2 linked regions of the Macaca mulatta genome follow. The protein of the gene in region 2 interacts with the protein of the main gene of each other region in a pairwise test. Links are inferred from orthologs where the notes say so. Each region holds a gene or a part of one and is shown on either strand. Other genes may lie near its edges.

What was found. The genes of interacting proteins can lie anywhere in the genome.
Region 1: the proteins of FHL2 (region 2) and DCP1A interact in binary tests that used the Homo sapiens proteins (3 or more experiments, as listed by UniProt). The two-hybrid records come from large-scale screens. The link is inferred for Macaca mulatta from reciprocal best matches to the Homo sapiens genes FHL2 and DCP1A.

Annotation. Positions count from the first base shown.
Region 1 is NC_133407.1:116,924,107-116,928,705, reverse strand, and holds part of DCP1A (mRNA-decapping enzyme 1A), read left to right. Parts: coding exon 1-4; intron 5-2,562; exon of another isoform or gene 2,563-2,582; coding exon of another isoform or gene 2,583-2,623; coding exon 2,624-2,751; intron 2,752-4,599. UniProt on the Homo sapiens protein: Necessary for the degradation of mRNAs, both in normal mRNA turnover and in nonsense-mediated mRNA decay. Removes the 7-methyl guanine cap structure from mRNA molecules, yielding a 5'-phosphorylated mRNA fragment and 7m-GDP.
Region 2 is NC_133418.1:13,464,984-13,469,582, forward strand, and holds the end of FHL2 (four and a half LIM domains protein 2), read right to left. Parts: intron 2,989-4,599; coding exon 2,802-2,988; intron 961-2,801; coding exon 809-960; 3' UTR 352-808; downstream 1-351. UniProt on the Homo sapiens protein: May function as a molecular transmitter linking various signaling pathways to transcriptional regulation. Negatively regulates the transcriptional repressor E4F1 and may function in cell growth.

The DNA.
Region 1 (4,599 bases), on a different chromosome or scaffold from region 2:
GAAGGTAAGTTTTTAAAATATGTGTATTTGTTTTTAACAGTTTAATGGTGAACAATGTCAAACGGTTCAATTCTGTTGTACATTTGTCTTTGGAACCTTCCTGCTAGTCCCCTTCAAGTTTTCATCTTTCCCTAGCTGTGAAATCTTAACCAGGTTCTTTCTTTTCTCTGAGCCTTTCTGTGATTCAGAATAAACTGAACTAGAATTTATATTAAAAGTCTAGCAAAGCAATTTCAAAATAATAATGATTGAGTCTAAAACAGATACCTGCCTCTCTCTCCCTACCCCCATATTAGAAAGAAAAAAAAAAAGATATATATTTGGGGAAAAGATAATACATAGACTAGCTCTGTAAAATAATGTTTTTCATTACCTCTGTTGTTTTATTACTGCATGGGTGGTTGTCTTTTATGACTGGTTCTGTCCTCTTTCCCAACCCCCAGAAGTTCTAGATTTTGTACAGTGTCTTGTTTGAGAGTTCTTTAGAAAGCTTGGATTATGCATAATGGCATATTTTTTATTTTTAACTTATTCAAAAATTCATTATGTTTAAGATTGGTTTGCAAATTGCAACTGTTTTGTTAGGCAGCTTCTGGGGCCTAAAGACAACTGACAGTATATGATAGTCATGGGGTGCTTGTTTTCCTGGATTCCTCTAAGGTCTTACTCTGACAAGGACAGGTTCCTTCCCTTGTTTTCTAAAGCTTGAGTCAGCAGGAGTTATTACTGATATCTGGTCTTCTCCCTTTTTTTTTGCATTGAGTTGCTTTTTAAGGATTGCCTTTCTCCATTGATGCCAATTTAAAATAATTTGTCAAATACTCTTCCAAATTTTGATACAAAGCCTTGAGATCTTATCTAAATGCACTCCATTTTTTTTCTTCTTTTAAGTGTAATTCTTTGATATTTGTACACCAAGCTCTTCTTTCTTAGACACTTTGTTTGTTCGCTGCTATTCATCTTTCTTCTTTTAAAAAGAAAGGGATCGGCCAGACGCAGTGGCTCACGCCTGTAATCCCAGCACTTTGGGAGGCCAAGGCAGGTGGTTCACGAGGTCAGGAGATAGAGACCATCCTAGCTAACACGGTGAAACCCCATCTCTACTAAAAATACAAAAAAATTAGCTGGGCGTGATGGTGGGTGCCTATAGTCCCAGCTACTCGGGAGGCTGAGGCAGGAGAATAGCGTGAACCCAGGAGGTAGAGCTTACAGTGAGCCGAGGTCAAACCATTGCACTCCAGCCTGGGCGACAGAGCGAGACTCTCATAAAATAAATAAACAGATAAATAAATAGGAAGGGATCTTTACCCTCACTCCCTTCATTACTCTTCATTAGCAGTATAAATCTCTAGAAACTCTGTTATTAGAACCTTAGTTTCTATGATATTTGGAAAAGGTACTTTACTGGGTTTATTGTTATCATACAGAGGCACTGATTATAGAAAGTAGGAGATTTAGTGTAGTGGTGGCTGGATTTAATACAATTCACGGAGTCTAATATGGTACTGATTCTAATTAAATGAGACGCAAGAAACTGTGTTTGGAAAATGTGAGACTATTTTGTGTACCTTGGATAAAGGTATACCAGGATGTCAGACTATCACTTTGCAGAGATTACTTCGTATAGTAGAAGCTTGGATTTGGAGTCAAAAAACCTGAAACTGAATCCGAATTACATTATTTGTAACTCATTATTTGTGTGACCTCAGGCACAGTCCTTAATCATTCAAAGCTTGTCTTCTAGTCTGTAGAATAGTGTTAACACCCCATATATATCGTAGAGAAACAAACGAAAAACTATGAAATGTTAGGTACATGTGAAGAGTAAGGGATCATATACCGAATCCCTCTGATACGGGAACCAAGGATGTTTCCTATTGTAGGATTCAAGGCATTTTCTGTCTAACTCAGGAGCACTATGTAAAGATCTGTTTGGTGCAAGAAAAACCATTATTGTAATGATGGGCAGCCATTATAGCCAATCCAATGGAATGATATTTCATTCAGCAACTGTGTGTCTATATTGGGATGTATGTGTGAAAAAAGTAAGACAAAAGCTCCATTTGCATGGGGCTTACATCCTAGTGGGGGCAGGACAATTAATATTAAAAATAAGTAGTATGGATAAAAGAGAAAGGTTAGAGGTATTGAGCTTGGGAACATTAAAAAGGGTAGTTCAAGTAGGCCTCATGAAAAAGGTGACATCTGAACAAAGGCTTGCAGGAGATGAGATAGCTGTGCAGCTTCTGGGGCAGTAATCCAGGAAGAGGTCTTTAGGTAGAAGCACACATGCAGAGAGAGTGGCAAGGAGCCCAGTGTGGCTGGAGAGGAGGAGGTGGGGAAGAGCCATAGGAAATGAAGTCAGAGGGGGAATACATCAGGTGGGGCCTTGGTGGCCTCAGTAAGGACTTTGACCTTTACTCTGAGAGACTGTCTTTGGAGACTTCTCATCAGAGGAAGAATATAATCCGACTTAAATGTTTTGTTTACAGGTGTAAGTGCTTGATAATATTGTATGTTCTAACGTATTCTTTTCTGAAATGAAAATAAAGCACATAGTAGATAACATTTCTACAGATTAAATGGTAACTGCATATTTTTTTTTCCTTCTATTAAATCTAAGGTCAGCTTCCCCTTACCATGGTTTTACCATTGTGAATCGACTAAATATGCACAATCTAGTTGAACCAGTGAATAAAGATTTGGAATTTCAGCTCCATGAACCATTTCTTCTGTATAGAAATGCAAGCTGTGAGTATATCTGTTTTATTATAGTTATTACATTTAAAATCGAGTGACTTTAGTTTCTATCAATCCATTATTTAGTAAGTTTCAAATTACAAAACAAAATATGGCCTATACTTTATGATTATAAATGAGTCTGTTAGAAAGATCAGACGTTTTAAACTGGGCTCTGAGACCAGACGTGGTGGCTCACGCCTGTAATCCCAATACTTTGGGAGACCGAGGAGGGCGGATTACCTGAGGTCAGGAGTTCGAGACCGCCCAGGCCAACATGATGAAACCCCATCTCTACTAAAAATACAGAAAAAAATTAGCCGGACTTGGTGGTGGGCACCTGTAATCACTTGAACCTGGCAGGTAGAGGTTGCAGCGAGCCGAGATCGCGCCATTGCACTCCAGCCTGGGCAACAGAGTGAGACTCTGTCTCAAAAAAATAAATAAATATACTGGGGTCTGAAACTAGAAACATTCTTTTGTATATAATTTTGTTTACTATTTCGTTTACTAGCACTACATTTATGTTGTTGGTTTATTAAAATAAGGTTTATGCCTTTGTTTTTTTGCAGCTGTGGACTATCAGCTGCCCACATCCCTGAGCAACAGAACTTAGTTTGGGACACACAGGATGGGAGCAGATACAGATAATTCTTTCCACAAAGAAAGTATTATTTTTGCCCAGAATAGTGGTGGTGGGGTTTTTTTAAAAGATATTTATTACTTTTTCTACTTTATTTTGTCTGAATATGTTTCTAAGTAGGGTTTTTCTATCTGTTTATTTAATTGAGTGTCTGCTGGTTACCAGCACTGAGCCAAGAGCTATGGTGCTTTAATGTTTGTAACCTATGTGCTATAGGGAGGCAGTTAAGGCAACTAAGACTCAGAGATGCAAAACTATTACTCTGTTGGAGAGTTAGGATTATAACTCTTCTGCTTTTTAGTCCAGGGTTCTTTCAGGCATTTTTACAGCCTCTAATGATAATTGGATGCAGTCAGCAAAGCTAGATTGGCCCTTCCAAGAAACTACAGTACTAAAAAGTGTACTTGATTCCAGTGTGTTGGTATGGATATTGAAGGTATGGGTGTTTGAGGACAGTTTGTTCTACATTGACTATAGGGGGTATCAAAACTGGTTATGGTAATAATTGTGCTCTAATTATCATTTAAGGATATAGTTGGAGAAATGTTGCTTCTAACTTAAAAAGTAAAAGTTAATGTGTTTGAATTTCACTTGGCTGAGAAGTAATTGGTCTTGGGGGATGTCTTCAGTATAAAATAGAAAAAGGTTACTAGAAATTATACACCTCTTAATTCCCTGAATGAGAAGTAACAAGGCCTATTTTAAAGCTAGAAACCCCCAAGTTCTTTTCCGTAGCACACTTTTAAGTATAAGTGAAACAGTTTCTGTCTTTTGACTTCTCAGTAAACTATTTTTCCAGGTAATTACCTCTCAGATTTTAAATTCTGTGGCCATATTAGACATGCTTCGTAATACCTGTAAGTTCAGATGGATTTATTTAAACTAATGTTAACAGCATAATTATTTCAGATTGCTCTTTTCTTTGGACTGAATATTCCATTAAAGGGAAAATTCAGCTGGGTACAGTGGCTCACACCTGTAATCCCAGGACTTTGGGAGACCGAGGCAAGCAGATTGCTTGAGCCCAGAAGTTCGAGACCGGCCTGGGCAACATGTCAAAACCCCATCTCCACAAAAAAACAGAAAAATTAGCCAGGTGTGGTGGCACACACTTGTAGTCCCAGCTACCCAGGAGGTTGAGGTGGGAGAGTCGCTTGAACACAGGAGGTCATTGAGGCTGCAGTGAGCTGTGATCGCGCCACTGCACTCCAGCCTGG
Region 2 (4,599 bases):
CTGTAATCCCAGCTACTCAGGAGGCTGAGGCAGGAGAATCGCTTGAACCCGGGAGGCGGAGGTTGCAGTGAGCCGAGATTGTGCCATCGCACTTTAGCCTGGGTAACAGAGTGAGACTCTGTCTCAAAAAAAAAAAAATTGGGAGAGAAGGTAGCAAGGAAGAGGTGCCTGGTGTTGACTGAAGGCTTCCTTTAAATAAAGGGTGTGATGTGATGCTATTCCAGTTGGCAATGCCCCAGGCCATTGGAACTGCACTTCATACAGTGACCATCGGACCATGCAATGACGTGTTACTTAGACTCAGTGCCTCAACCTTTAATCATGATTTCACACACTGTGCCTGGCAAAAGATTTTGTTCTGAATAACTTTATTGCAAGTCACATAATCTTGGTTTAGACTTGACACAACAGGAAGTTACAGAGCTGTAAATACCAATTGGTCATTACCTTACTGAGTTTAGAAAACTTTCAAGTTCGTGGCATACATTAATTGCACTTAAATAGGCAGTGAGAGAAAGATTTATAAAGACATCATTCAAAAGGATTTTTACATTTGGGTGTGCCTTACTCGATTACAAAAATTTCAAACCATCTTCCCACCTAGGGCCTAGGGCGAGTTTTCTCTTTCCCTGGGACTGAACTAGCACAAAGCACTAAAGGGTTGAAGCAAACGTGAGTATCACTGAAAAGCACTAGAAGAAAGTCTCGATGTGGCTGGAAGAAACCAGAAGGCAAGATTGCCTGGGTGAGAAAGAAAACATAAAAATCTGTGTGTGAGATCACAAGCAGCAACTTCTCCATGTTGACTTCAGATGTCTTTCCCACAGTCGGGGCACAGGATATCGTCCCTCTCTGTGAGGAAGCCACGCCCCACCAGTGAGAGGGAGCACTTCTTACAGTTAAAGCAGTCGTTATGCCACTGCCGTTCCTCAAAGGAGATGTATTTTGTGCCGCCAAGTCCTGTTAACAGAGAGAAAATAATACCGGATGAAGAAAATTAGAATCAGGCAACTGGGACTGAAGAAGGAATTGTGGTTTGATCCATTTCAAAGTTTGGATTGTGTAATATGGATAGTGTGAACTTCTAGTGAATGGGTGCTGGGAATCCATGTATAAATCAGATTCTATGCACAGCCTGGAGGATCTCGTGAATATCAGAAGAGAGATAGAAACTGGTTCCAAAATGATGTGATAAGTGCGTCAAAGAATGCTGACTGTATTTGTTATGTGTTTTCCCACAAAATGAAACTCTGTGAGAACAGGAAGCAGATTTCTCTTATGCCTTCACTAGGTGCCTCATGTTGCCTGGTGCTCAAATTTGTGTGATTTAATGATTGAAGCACCGAAGGGAGTGTAGAAGAGGAAAAGTTAATCCTCCCTGGGGTGGCCAGGAAAAGCCTCACAGATAAAGCACGATGTGGGTAGGAATGAGGGCAGAGGAATATTGTTGCAGCGGGAAGATCCTGAGAAAGCTGCAGACAGACAGAATGGAATCAAATATTTAAGGTACATTGGTCCCTGATTATAATACAGTTGGTTTTACCTAGTGTTTTTTCTCAGTGCTACAATAACCGCAATTCACATTCATATCTAACGTTTTACATTTAGAAGTGCTTTTATATAGATTGTATCACTTTATAAAGCTTAATGTTATAAACATTTACCTCAACAGAAGTTACTGCTGAAAACAGCATTAAAGATGAATATGTTTGGCAAAAGATTGCATTTTCCCCCTAAATGATTCCAAGGGAAATGTGGTGCATAAAGGACCAGAAACAGATATTTTAACATAGGTAAACTGTAAATACTATGCTTTTCTTCATATTTTAATTTCACATGGAAATGTAATGAGCTCTGCATTATACGTGAGAGAACTGTTTTAGTGACCTGGGAAGGTGATTTAGCTCAGTTAGGTGAACTTCGTTCTAGGCCTGAGGGAAAAGAAAGTCAAGGACAAGAACACAGGGGGTGTATAGATGTGTTTCTGTAATGATACTGAAAAGCCACATAGGAAAGCCAGACCACCGGGTACTCCATGTGTCTGCCACCTTCCTCTGATAGGGAAGAACCACTCCACTGAATGCAGTGGGATTGAAAATCCCACATCATAAAACTTCTCCTGTGTTATTATAGAAGACACACTTTTCTCTCCCCACCCAGTCACTAATTTGTGTAGTGATATGTGGTGACCATCTAAAGGACTTTAGTGTGAAGTCATCTGTTCTCCACACTGAATTTCTCCAGCCTGCTTAATAGTCTAGTCCAGAAGCCTGGTCTGCCGGCCAGCCAGATTTTGGGCTCTCACTTTGCCAGATCATTTGGGGGAATACAATATGAAAAACTCCTTAGAATGTACCCTCTGCCCTCATATAGCTGTGGCCTTGTGGCAGAAATTTCCCACTAAGATGCTTTGGAGTACAACCGTCCCCCTAAGATGCTAGGGGACACTTCTAAGAAAACAGTACAGCTGCTAAGCCTGAAAAGGCCAGTTTTTATTGTGCTTATGTGGTGTTACAGGCTCACAGGCTGCAGTTTTAGAGATAATCCAACCCAAAGCAGAAACTAAACCAGAGCACAGGCCATATGGTTGTGATCCGGTGGGCTGCAGAGGAAGTAATCATTACTTGCTGAAGCATAGCCAGTGCACCAAGGAGAGGAAAGCAGATAGGCAGAAAAGTCTGTGTTCAGAGCCTTAGGGAGGTCTGGGAAGTTTAGGGATATAGACAGGGTCACATGCTAAAATGCTAGGCCTTGTTCAAGCTTCCAATCCCTCTTCGAAGTGGGGACCCCGGGACACTCACCGCTGATGGGGTTGGTACACCCAGCACACTTCTTGGCATACAAGTCACAGAAGCAGTTCAGGCAGTAGGCAAAGTCATCGCGAGCCGTGAAGCGCTGCCCAGACAGCTGCTTCCTGCAGGCGGTGCACACAAAGCACTCCTTGTGCCAGGGCTGCTCCCGGTAAGTGACCCCTCCCGTGGTGATGGGCTGCAGGGACGAGTGGGAGAGTTAGTGTGGTCTCTCTGCTTGCAAGACATCTTCAGTCTCACTACTGCCACTGGACGATGCAAGATCCTCATTCAGAAAACGTCCAGTTTGTTAAACATCACCATGAAGCTGCTTTACAAACCTCACAGTCACTCGTTACCCTCGCCACACGCTTTCATTCCAGTGTCTTAGGCCCTGGCTTTCCCATTAGTGAAACTGGAGCTTGGGGGTTGCCCTCAGCCCTTCCCAGGGATGCTGGAGATCTAAGGCACAGGGCACCTCAGTGGCGTTGCCACCTTCGCGAGCAGGGAAGCAGCACAGTGGAGGGGTCGGGATTGAAGACAGCATCAAGGAGACGTGGGCTTGAATCCTAATCCTACTCCTTACCAGACCTGTGGCTGGGAGCAGGTCATAATAAAGATCTCTGCACCTCAGTTTTCTCATCCAGGAAGTGAGGGTGATGATGTTAAATAGGCAAGTTGATGGGGAGTCCTTACTTAGAAGCCTGGCAGGGCCGGTGGCTCATGCCTGTAATCTCAGGACTTTGGGAGGCCGAGGCAGGTGGATCACTTGAGGTCAGGAGTTCAAGACCAGCCTGGCCAACATGGCGAAACCCCATCTCTACTAAAAATACAAAACATTAGCTGGGTGTGGTGGTGCACCTGTAATCCCAGCTACTCAGGAGGCTGAGGCAGGAGAATCGCTTGAACCCTGGAGACGAAGGTTGCGGTGAGCCAAGATCGTGCCACTGCACTCCAGCCTGGGTGACAGAGTAAGACTCGGTCTCAAAAACAAAACAAAAACCCTGGCAAGTGGTAACCTCTCCAATGCCACTCATGAGCCTGTCTCTCCAGCCACTTACGGTGAAAGAAGGAAAAGGCTTAAAGGACAGCTGGGACTGGCACCTGCGGATGCCACAAGAAGATATGGGCATATGGGCATCTTGGAAGTTTTGGGAAAAATCAGCCAGATGCCTTCATTCTCACCCGTCTTGTGGTCTCAGAACATCTGTGAGGTGAAGCTGCAAAGCCACACAAGGTGGAACGGCCATCAGTACCTCAATTTTACCTGGTATTTTTCTCCAAATGTTGCATCTCACATTCTGTTTACAAATGCGTGCTTGGTGGAGCTGAGTAAGCTATCAAAGGAGTGTAGGTGGCCTCAGCTTGGCAAACGAAGGCCATGGAAGATGGAGTGCAAGCACCTCACAGTCACGCTTTTTTGCTTTTTATTTTTTGAACATTTCAGTATCATCCCGTAATTCCTTTGGTCTTTACATAAAGCTTGTGAAGTAAGAAAGATACTAATTTTATGGGTGAGTAAACTGAGACTCAGAGAAATTAAAAAGTGACTTGCTGAAGAATTCATAGCTGGTTAATGACAAAGCAGGAGCTAGAATTCCAGACTCCCTTCTATCTTGTATTCTTTTCATTAAACCATGAATCATAAAGCATCTTCCTATAACCCACCCCACCGCACAACAGAATGAACACAAAACACGCTTGGTTGCAACGCATCCGTATGCATCAGTAGCCTGTGTGTGTAAGACGTCTCCTCTGCCTGCAACATATGTCCTCAGTCCTCCCTCACTCCGGATTCCATGCTTCCCAC